Stegostoma tigrinum: one gene and its partners. The protein of the gene in region 1 interacts with the protein of each later gene in a pairwise test. Links are inferred from orthologs where the notes say so. Each region holds a gene or a part of one and is shown on either strand. Other genes may lie near its edges.

Region 1 (3,750 bases):
AAGATGGGCCCTGACCCGAACTGTCAACATTCCTGCTCCTCTGATGCTGCCTGGCCTGCTATGTTCATCCAGCTCCATACTGTGTTATCTCTTAGAAAGGCTGCATTTTTTTTTAACTTTCCAAACAACGCCTTCTTCCATCTACACAATGGCTCAGTGGTAAGCACTGATGCCTCACAGTGCCAGGGACCTGGGTTAAATTCCAGCCTCGGGCAACTGTGTGGAGCTTGCACATTCTCCCCGTGTCTGCATGGGTTTCCTCCAGGTACTCTGGTTTCCTCCCACAGTCCAAAGATGTGCGGGTAAGGTGTATTATCGTGCGAAATTACCCCATAGTGTTCAGGGATGTGCAGTTTAGGTGGGTTGTAGGGGGATGGGTCTGGATGGGATGCTCTGAGGTTCGGTGTGGACTTGTTGGGCCAAAGGGCCTGTTTCCACACTGTAGGGATTCTATGATTTATACACACATGCAACTTGGAAAGATTACTTCAAAAAGGACATGATCTGGTTTCTGACAGTGGACTGTCCAATCATTGAGATTTTTTTAAAAATCGTAAAATTGTGAGGAGTGGGTGAGGGTGTTGGTCAGAAATGGGTGGAGGGTTGAGCTTATGCAATTATAAATCTGGACTTTTGAAGATTTAATCTGGAGGGGAATAAAGCAGCATGGGGATGGGAGAAAGAAAGTTGGAGTAAGGAGGGGGAAGGAAAGGAGGGTGAAGGGTAATGGAGGGGGGTAAAGGAGGGAGCTGAAGGTGGGTGAAGGGTAATGGAGTGGGGTAAAGGAGGGAGTTGAAGGTGGGAGAAGGGTAATGGAGGGGGGTAAAGGAGGGAGCTGAGGTGGGGGAAGGGTGGGGGAGGGGAATGGAGGAAGAGGGGAAAGGTAGGGGTGGGGGAGGGGATAGAGGAGGCGGGAAAGCGTCTTTCGTAATATTTGTCGGCAGAGCAGTTAAAGGCAATGCAGGGATGTTCCCTTTAAGGAGGGCGGTGCTGTGACCCGGAAATGAATGGGAGGGTGTGGGGAAGGGACCGGGAACGATCAGGATCAGTGCTGGGACTGGAGGAGGCGGTGAGTGTTAGGGGAGGGGGAGACCATCTCCAACACCTCCCTCCCCCCCCAAACCCGGTGCTGCAGCTACTTACCTCCCGAAAAGCCCCAGAATCGTCCCGATCTCACCCACCCCCACCCTCACCCATCCTTACTCACCCGTTCTTATCACCACCACCGTTTCCTTCTACCCACATGCCCACTGTCATATTTCCCCCCCCCACCCCAATTTCAGCCTTCCTGTTCCCATCCTCATGTCTCCCTGTCTTTTGTTTAAAAATGCATTATATTTCGAAACTATCGACTGCAGAGGGTGGAGGGAAGAAATAGAAAAATTCCATGATAGGCAAAAGCCCCTTTTTAAAATTTCTAACCTTCGATGTTTTTCTGTCTGTGTGTCAGACAGTGTTTAAACCATTATTGTTTAAATTCTTGTTTTTAAACATTCGTAATTGGGCTAATTTTCTGCCCTCTATCTTTCCCGAAACTCGCTTTCTCAACTCTTTCTGAGTTCCATTCCTGCCAAATGCCAGAACTCTGACCTGTATCATGCACAATCTGCATTTTTGTCTGGTTCTTGTTTATGCTGATCCCTTCCCCTGTCATTAGCCTTTCCGTTTAAACTCCTTGCAGGCATTGCTGTACTGGATTGGTGCAGTTTTATCCAGTATCATGTTTGAATATCGTACGTTATGTAATCTTTCTTCCAAACTTTCACCATCTAACTTCTTTAGCTTTATTAAGACCTGTATGCTTTTGTAACGTCCATCTCAATGCTTCAGTCAGATCTCCACCCACTGCTTTGCTTGCTGTCAATTGGCAGAGTTGTAAGTACAAGTTTGCCAGTTGTTAAAACTGTTTTTGGCTTTTCTTGGGCATTATCGGGAAAACTTGGTGGGTGTGTTGATATTTTACTAATTGCAAAGATGTAAGTGGAAAGTAAATATTTGCCGTATGAGCAGCTTTAACAAACTTCACTTTAAATGGAAGTATGTGTTTATTTGTTCTGGGATTGTAAGAAGTGTTTCAGAAAGATAACTTGCCTTTAAGCATGTATCACTTGATGTTAGTTACTTCATAGAGTAATTTTGAGACTTGCCCTGAAATAGCCTTTTGTTTATTTAAAGCTGTGATCCATTGTCCTATTCTTATGCGTTTAGTTATTTTCCTTTTCCATAATGTTTACAATATTGCATACTTCCTATAAAATCCCTCTCACCCGTTTACTTTCAAAATTGAAATTTCCAAATTTCTCCATAATTCAAATGTGCTCATTTTCTTCACAATGTAAATGACTCAATGATGAGAACTGAATAAAGTTGTTCTGTTTCCAGACCAAAGCTTTATAAAGTGATCAAACCTCCTGTTTTCATTCTGGTTTTTGCTGAATAATTCAGTGAATGTGCAAGATCCCACAATGTTACTTCTCTTAGCCAGTACGTAACCACTACTGAAAATGGCGAGGTATAGCTGGGCATTTTCACAATGATGTCTGTGGGACATCGCTGGATGCTAATTGGCTGCTATGTGTCATATATTATAAGTGACTACACTTGTAAAGTATTTAATTAGTTACAAAGTGCTTTGTAATGGCAAGTCATTTTTTCTTTTATGTTCTACAGTATTAGCACACTTCCATTTTGTGTATGGTGTTCACCAGCCTTTTTCAACTTCGTTTTTGCTATATCAACCATTCATAGTGTATCATTTAAGTGTTAATCTTCCTGTATAAAATTGAATCTCTTTGTCCTGTCCACTGAGTTATTTTAGTTAGCTTGTTCTGTAACTGGAGCTGCTATTTTCTGGTTCATTAACCCTCTAGGCCAGGTATCAGCTACAAATTTGATTAATAAAGAACAAAGAAAATTACTGTACAGGAACATAAGATAATAAAATGTGAGGCTGGATGAACACAGCAGGCCCAGCAGCATCTCAGGAGCACAAAAGCTGACGTTTCGGGCCTAGACCCTTCATCAGAGAGGGGGATGGGGTGAGGGTTCTGGAATAAATAGGGAGAGAGGGGGAGGCGGACCGAAGATGGAGAGAAAAGAAGATAGGTGGAGAGGAGCGTATAGGTAGGGAGGGGATAGGTCAGTCCAGGGGAGACGGACAGGTCAAGGAGGTGGGATGAGGTTAGTAGTAGGGAGATGGAGGTGCGGCTTGGGGTGGGAGGAAGGGATGGGTGCGAGGAAGAACAGATTAGGGAGGCAGAGACAGGTTGGACTGGTTTTGGGATGCAGTGGGGGGAGGGGAAGAGCTGGGCTGGTTTTGGGATGCGGTGGGGGAAGGGGAGATTTTGAAGCTGGTGAAGTCCACATTGATACCATTGGGTTGCAGGGTTCCCAAGCGGAATATGAGTTGCTGTTCCTGCAACCTTCGGGTGGCATCATTGTGGCACTGCAGGAGGCCTATGATGGACATGTCATCTAAAGATCGGGAGGGGGAGTTGAAATGGTTGGCGACTGGGAGGTGCAGTTGTTTATTGTGAACCGAGCGGAGGTGTTCTGCAAAGCGGTCCCCAAGCCTCCGCTTGGTTTCCCCAATGTAGAGGAAGCCACACTGGGTACAGTCCCTGGCTCCCAACACCTCATTTTCACCATGGATGTCCAGTCCCTATACACCTGTATTCCGCATGCAGATGGCCTCAAGGCCCTCCGCTTCTTCCTGTCCCGCAGGCCTGACCAGTCCCCCTCCACCGACAC
Region 2 (3,750 bases), on another chromosome or scaffold:
TGAAAAAATGGATATACGTCAGCTTCTTGACGTTATTTATCGTAACGTGAAATTTACAGCCTAAGTGCTTACCTTATTGAAATTGTTCATTTATACTGAATCACATCAATCTGGTTAATTCCACCACACTCAAAGCATGGAGGTAAGTCAAAAAAAAACCTTTGAAAGCACTTTCAAAATTGGGGAGATCAGAATATTATGTCTTCCAAATGAAAGGCGTGGAGGAGAGGAACCTGTTCCTCCTTGGAATCATGTGCCATATGAAAATAGGAGCCTGGGGACGTTTCGTTATATGAAAACTGCATTCAACAACAACCTACATTGATGTAGAACCTTTAACATGGTTTGAAAGAAAACAGCTTAAGGTGCGCCAAGAAGCGTACAATCAGGCGAAAATTAACACGGAGGCACACCCCATTCTCCCATTCTCCCATTCCCACTCCCACTCCCACTCCCACTGAGGAGAGTGGAGCAAAAGTTCAGTCTTCATGAGATGACTGAAAGGAGGTGAGAAGTGGAAAGGTTGAGGGACCCAGAGAGAGAGAGAGAAAATTAGCCGGAGGCAATGAAAGAGGCTAAGTGAAACAGTCGAGCTCAGCTGAAAACTTACTGGGGGGAAACTAGAGAGGATGGAGGGTCAGCAGGAAGGAAGGACAACGGGGGGGGGGCGGTGCTGCAACTGCAGGTCAACCCCAAACCCGAAATCCATTCTAGAAAAAGCCCTGTCAAAACTCACAGGGCGGGGACACTGTAATTAAAGACTGTCATGAATATTAATGTCGAAGTGGAAGGCGGGGCTGCGTCAGGTGTATGCCGGCGCCGTACTGCCTTATTATGTTAATAGCGGGCAGTGAGAGGGAGCTGGGTTATACACACTAGTGGAATGTGAGTGTTGGAAAGGGCGGTAAGGACGGGACTAGGCGGTGAATTCACGGCACTGAAAGATAAAGAGAGATTCAACGCGCAGATTAAACAAAAATTATGGAGAAGCGCTACTTCACCATAGCCGAGGTGCAGGAGCACACGACGGTGGATTCCTGCTGGATCATCCACGGGCGGCGGGTCTACGACGTGTCGGCGTTTATCCAGCGGCACCCGGGCGGCGAGCAGATGATCGTCCGGCGGGCGGGTACGGATGTGAGCCGGGACATGGCAGGACCTCCGCACCGGCATAGCTCGAACGCGCACCGCTGGCTACAGCAGTACTACATCGGGGAGCTGAGCACGGACAGCGGCGCCCCGGAGGAGGATGAAGAAGAAATATTCTCCCAGAAAAAGCAGGTAACTCCAAGGGAAGGGGATGGAAAAGATCTTGGGCATCCTCTAAGGAAGACCACCCCCCACCCCACCAACGTCTGGTTCATCCGCTGAAGAGCGCCTCCCCACCTTATTCACTCGTGACATTTTGTGCAAAGTCATGTTTTGAACCTACTCGGGGACAAAAAACAGCAAAGTGGAAGTAAATGAGAAAGTTTAAAGCAGAACTTTTAACATACACACGAAGTGGAGTTTTAATAGAATTAACTATGGAGTGAGGGGAGTGGCTCATACAGCGATGAGCTCCCACCTTGGGGGATGGGGTTGATGGAATTTTTCCACACGATATTTTAAAATAAATCCGTGTAAACAACATACCCGGAAGCTCTGCATTCTACCGTGACTTAATGCTGAGCCTGTTTTCTGTGTTTTTTGTTTTTTTTTGTTTCTTTAAAATAAGAAAACACCTGCTCCAAGGCTTGGACTGAAAAGCAAGGCTGGTGTCTGGAGGGAAAAAGATATCAGAGAGGCGTCTCCTCAGGAGTGTGGGGGGAGCTTTTTATTTTGAGGTTTTTCAAAGAAAAATCCAAGTCCGACCGAAAGTAAAACAGACTAAGGCTTGTGACACATGTCGGAAGGGGGAAATGGGCTCAAGAAACACGAAGTATTTACTAGCTGAGTTGCTGCGAGGTTTGTACCCAGGAGAGAGCGGAGCGGATCGCAGACCTGGATAAACAGGTGCTGCGAGAAAACAAAAGGGCGTTAACCAGCAGGTTAATAACCAAACCGGTTTAACAAGAGCATTGGGGCCCACGGTTGGCATTTATTTCCTCGCATTTCTGCCTCCACCGCCACCCTCTTTTTTTTTTCTGGCTTTTAGAAAAAAGGCATACACAAGGGTGTGGGTATGGGAGGTGAGACTTGAACGTGAATTTTAAAACAAGTCCTTTGAATTTTTCGATCGTACCGAAACTTTGTCCAAATGTGAACTGTTGCCAGAGTTCTGTGGTTGCTCGAACCCGAGACGAACTGGCTATTGTAAGGTCACAGACGTTCTCCCCATTTGGTTTGGCCCTGTGTGACATTTGTCACTACATTAGAAGGTACAACATTCGAATTGCGCGGCTTTTCTGCCCCGTGTTACTAATTTCCTACATGTAGCTGGCTGAATACCTTCTTTAATTCAAGTTATTTGGTAATGGACATTAGACGGAAATTGTCAAATTCACAGCAGCGTGGCAACTTTCTTGTGCCGTTTTATTGTGTCGTATTCTTTGATCGAACTATTCGATTAATATCATTTCCCTTCAGCTCACTGATTTTTTTTTATTCGAGTATTTTTCAATTCCATTTGGAATTTGCTACAGAATCTGCTTCAGCCGCTTTTTTTTTCCAGACATTGTAGATGTCCTGAACACACACTTAAAACCAGTCCTTCTGTGCTCCTGTTTCCAACCTGATCACTGGAAAGTTCCTCTCCTTTTTCTGTATTGTTTCAATCGTCTCTGCGTTTGTACGTTCTCCTATGATCCTCTTAGCCTTCTCTGTTCGAAGATATTTCCCAGCATCAGGACATCAATGAAGTGCATTGTCCCTGGAATCATTCTAGTACATCAGTTCTTTGCAAGCTCCAAGGCTTTACATGATTCTTCAGGAGTTGAACTCCGAATCGAAATGAGGCCTGATCAGTATTTCAAAAATTTGCCATTACATTCATGCAATTGCTATCTCCGTAAATATTACAAAAAGTGTCACTTCTTTTCATGCACTGCCATTTCTTCTACTCCTGTACTTCCAGCAGTTCATTGCCTCAGTTTTCTTTGCAGCTGTTTAAAATTGTACTGTTTAGTTCATTTATGGCTGTTCTCGGCCTTTCTATCAAAGGCTACCCTTCACATTACCTTAAATCTCATGTCGTGACTGCCTGTTTCCTCAGTCTCTTGTGCCTGCTCCTGTCCTCACTGACTTGTGATACTTGAGATTTGTACCATTAGCAAATTTTTGAATTTGTGCTCCGAATACCCAAGTCCGAGTCATTAACATGTAAGCCAAAAAAACTTAAGCCAACCCATAAAACCTGCTTGTTAAAACGCTTAACAATAAAAGATGTGCTGGTGTTAGCAAAACCATGCTTACCTGATCATCTTTTATTTCAGTGTGGTTAATTTGTATCTAAGGTGATAAGGTAAATTTAACAATACAAAAAGCTACAATGGAAAAACATCATGGGACTGCTGGAGAAGTGAGAGACCAGCAGTGATTTTTGTCCATGAATACCTTCAGTGGGTGTTGGAGGTGATGTAGTTGGAAGCAAAGCAACATTATGTGAGCAACTGTTCTGCGATCTTTGGATAGAGGCTGAGGCAAGTTTTTATATGTAGGAAAAGTAGTCAAAATTGTATATTTGGATGGACTATTGAGAATCAATGACTTTTCTAGCTGCTTCCTGATTTTAAATTAGCATTAGTCTAATGTTAGTAGCAAAGCATGTAT
Region 3 (3,750 bases), on another chromosome or scaffold:
CACTCGAAGCAGTTTAGAGACAGTTTACCAGACCAATACATGGAATGCATGGGTTTTCTTATGAGGAGAGCTTATATAAGCTCAAATTTTATCTGCTGCAGTTTAAAAAAGCAAGAGGTGGATTGATTGAAACATACAAGATTCTATGATGACTTTACATGGTAGATGTTGACAGAATATTTCACCAGTGGGAGAATCTGGACCACTGCTTAAAAATCAAGAGTTGCTCATTTCAATGTTGAGGTAATTCTTTGGAACTCTTCGCAGAAAGACAGTGGAAGCAGAATACTCGAATATTTTTAAATTCTTGTTGATCAAAGGGGTAAAAGATAATGAGGGGGACAAGGGATTGTAGATCTGAGGTTACAATCAGATCAACTGTGATCTTATCAAATGGTGATGGACACTCAAGAGACTGAAAAGCCTATTCCTGCCCCTAGTTTCAAATGAGGGGTTCAAAGGCTAGCCAGTGTCAGGGTGGAACCACAATCAACCAGGTAGTTGTCAATAAACATGACTGTGTAGAAATGAAGAAAAACTTCCATTGGTAGTGTCCTTCTTGATCTCCCAATATTTAAAAGTACTATAAGACCTTCTCTCGACCCTAAGAAATGGGGATGTTCGACGACGATTGCATAATGTTCATCACTAATTGCAACCCCTCAGATACTGAAGCAATCGATGTTCTAATGCAACAAGATCTGGACAACATCCAGGATTCAGCTGACAAATGGCAAATAACATTCATGCCACACAAATGCCAGGCAATGATTGTCTCTTATTAGAGAATATCGAACCACAGCTCCTAGACATTCAATGGTGCTTCCAGTATCAATATCCTGGGGGCCGCCATTAATCAGAAACTCAGCAGGACTTGCCACATAAACACAGTAGCTACAAGAGCAGGTCGGAGGCTAAGAACACTGTAGTGAGTAACTCGCCTCCTAACTCCCCAAAGTCTGTCCATCATCCACAAGACTTAAGTTAGAAGCGTGATGAAACAGTTCTCACTTGCCTAGATGGGTACAGCGCCAACAACACTCGAAAAGCTTGATACCATTCAGGACAAAGCAGCCTACTTGATTGGCACCACATCCACAAGCATCCACTCCCTCCACCACCGACAGTCAGTGGCAGCAGTGTGTACTATCTACAAGATGCACTGCAAAAATTCAGCAAAGATCCTTACACATCGCCTTCCAAACACACAATCACTTTCATCTAGAAGGACAAGTGCAGCAGATACATGGGAACACCACCACCTGCAAGTAACCCTCCAAGCCACTCACCATCCTAACCTGGAAACATACTGCTGCTCCTTCACTGTCACTGGGTCAAAATTCTGCAATTTCCTCCTAATGGCATTGTGGGTCAACCCTCAGCATGTGGACTGCAGCAGTTCAAGAAAGCAGCTCACCACCACCTTCTGAAGGGCAATTAGAGACAGGCAATTAAAAAGTGCTGATCCAGCCAGTGTGGGCCATGCCCCACAAATGATTAAAAATATTAAAGTAACATTGCAGTCTAATCACAAATGTCATGTAAGATATAAAGTACCCAAACGGCACACAATATGACCACGAGGAGAGCCGTGTGATAACAAGCAGGTGATCTGCTTTAAATTAAGCTTACTGAAGCATAAATACCGGCCAGGGCAGTGGGATGAATTCATGGCTCTTTCTTAGTGAAATGTTACAGCCACCTGAACAGACAATGGGAGTATTGTCACACAACCATCTCATAACACTGACTACACCTGCAGGCAGAGAAACAGGGCCAACATTTCAAGGTGTAAAGGTGGGTCACATTCTAGCACCAGGGCCTCAACAATGACGACCCAAGCCCCACATCCCTAGGAGTCCCTCAGTACTGATGCGCAGACATATAACAGTGTCTAATTGGCTGATTCGCTGAATGTGCAGCCCTGTCAGCACTCAAACCCTCAAGGACAAGCCTCCAGTCTGCCCAGCCCCCGAGAGTACAGAGAACAAGGAGCTCCCTTGACCCTGAAAACCTTAACAGCGCCACGCTCCCTCAGCGCTGACCCTCTGACAGTGTGGTGCTCACTCGTACTGACACTCCAACAGTGCCGTGCTCCTGCAGCACTGACTCTGCGACAAGGTCAGAAATCCACCACACCAGGTTATAGTCCAACAGGTTTATTTGACACTTCACCTGACAAAGGGGCTACACTCCAAAAGTTTGTGATTGCAAATATAAACCTGTTGGACTATAAGCTGGTGTGGTGTGATTTCTGACCTTGTCCACTCCAGTCCAAGACCAGCACCTCCGCATCATGAGAACGTGGTGAACCTTCTTTGATAGTGGGAACTGCAGATGCTGGAGAATTTGAGATAATAAGGTGTGAAGCTGGATGAACACAGCAGGCCAAGCAGCATCAGCTTTCCTGCTCCTCTGATGCTGCTTAGCCGGCTGTGTTCATCCAGGTCTGGCGAACCTTCTTTGCTGTTTTGTGTACATGTGTTCGGTTCTCTGGCCTGACATCTGAACCCAGGTGTCTCTCGGGGGATGATGCTGCTGCCCAATGTCCCATACGAACTGCCGGGCCCTCGGTTACCTGCAGCCTCACGGTCTCCCCCCCAGCAGCGAGCCTCATACGTTACCTCAGTAACCGGTCGCCAAGAAGACAGGCCACAGGCCTTTCCTCCAGCCGCTCGTGCTATGGACCAGAGCCGGTGCTGACCGGTCAAAGTCCGCTCTCCAGGGTGACGGCTGCACGGTTTGTCGTGGGTGGTGGCCGGTCTCACCCGACCAGGTCGTCGACCCGTCTAGTAGACACCAAGAGGCGGTAGCAGCACGCAGGCGCACCCGACACGCCCCGCGCGAACGTTTCAGACGGCGCATGCGTCTGCCCGGCTCCTGCCGGACCCCTTCATTGCGCGTGCGCAAGACCCCCGTCTCCTGTCCGTCGGATCGCATGCGCATCCGTCCTTCTAGACGTCGGATCAAGGCTTACACATGCGCTCTATCGGGTGGGGGACCTAGCTGTCAATCAAAATCCTCATCTCTCGTGTTTACGTGGCAATGGAGCATTTAGCGCCTGAGCAGCTTATAGAGTCTGAGAAAACACACTTAGTGCCTGCCAGGGTGCGTAATGTCTCTGATCGTGTTTTTGGGATCCTTAAGGGGGAGGGGGAGCAGCCCCAAGTCGTGGTCCACTTTGGCACCAACGACATAGGTAGGAAGAGAGATGGGGATTTAAGGCAAAAATTCAGGCAGCTAGGATGGAAGCTGAGAGCTTGGATGAACAGAGTTGTTGTCTCTGGTTTGTTGCCTGTGCCACGTACTAGTGAGGCGAGGAATAGGGAGAGAGAGGAGTTGAACATGTGGCTAGAGGGATGGTGCAGGAGGGAGGGTTTTGGATTCTTGGATAATTGGGGCACTTTCTGGGGTAGGTGGGACCTCGACTAGCAAGATGGTCTTCACCTGAACCAGAGGGGTACCGATATCCTGGGGGGGAGATTTGCTAAGGCTATTCGGGTGGGTTTAAACTAATTCAGCAGGGCGATGGGCACCAAAATTGTAGTTTGACTATAGAAAAGGTTGAGAGTAGGGTGGTCCGAAATAAAGTTTCAGGGAAGCAAGATGGACCGGCAAGCAAGAGGTTGGTTTGAAGTGTGTCTACTTCAATGCCAGGAGTGTCGGAATAAGGTGGGTGAACTTGCAGCATGGGTTAGTACCTGGGACTTCGATGTTGTGGCCATTTCGGAGACATGGATAGAGCAGGGA

What was found.
Region 2: the proteins of erlin-1-like (region 1) and fa2h interact in binary tests that used the Homo sapiens proteins (3 or more experiments, as listed by UniProt). The two-hybrid records come from large-scale screens. The link is inferred for Stegostoma tigrinum from reciprocal best matches to the Homo sapiens genes ERLIN1 and FA2H.
Region 3: the proteins of erlin-1-like (region 1) and sec22a interact in binary tests that used the Homo sapiens proteins (3 or more experiments, as listed by UniProt). The two-hybrid records come from large-scale screens. The link is inferred for Stegostoma tigrinum from reciprocal best matches to the Homo sapiens genes ERLIN1 and SEC22A.

The regions. Positions count from the first base shown.
Region 1 is NC_081390.1:13,847,305-13,851,054, forward strand, and holds the start of erlin-1-like, read left to right. Parts: upstream 1-997; 5' UTR 998-1,069; intron 1,070-1,162; exon of another isoform or gene 1,163-1,875; intron 1,876-3,750. UniProt on the Homo sapiens protein: Component of the ERLIN1/ERLIN2 complex which mediates the endoplasmic reticulum-associated degradation (ERAD) of inositol 1,4,5-trisphosphate receptors (IP3Rs).
Region 2 is NC_081369.1:14,133,137-14,136,886, forward strand, and holds the start of fa2h (fatty acid 2-hydroxylase), read left to right. Parts: upstream 1-850; 5' UTR 851-981; coding exon 982-1,281; intron 1,282-3,750. UniProt on the Homo sapiens protein: Catalyzes the hydroxylation of free fatty acids at the C-2 position to produce 2-hydroxy fatty acids, which are building blocks of sphingolipids and glycosphingolipids common in neural tissue and epidermis.
Region 3 is NC_081360.1:97,211,231-97,214,980, reverse strand, and holds the start of sec22a (vesicle-trafficking protein SEC22a), read right to left. Parts: upstream 2,845-3,750; 5' UTR 2,625-2,844; intron 1,427-2,624; 5' UTR 1,290-1,426; intron 1-1,289. UniProt on the Homo sapiens protein: May be involved in vesicle transport between the ER and the Golgi complex.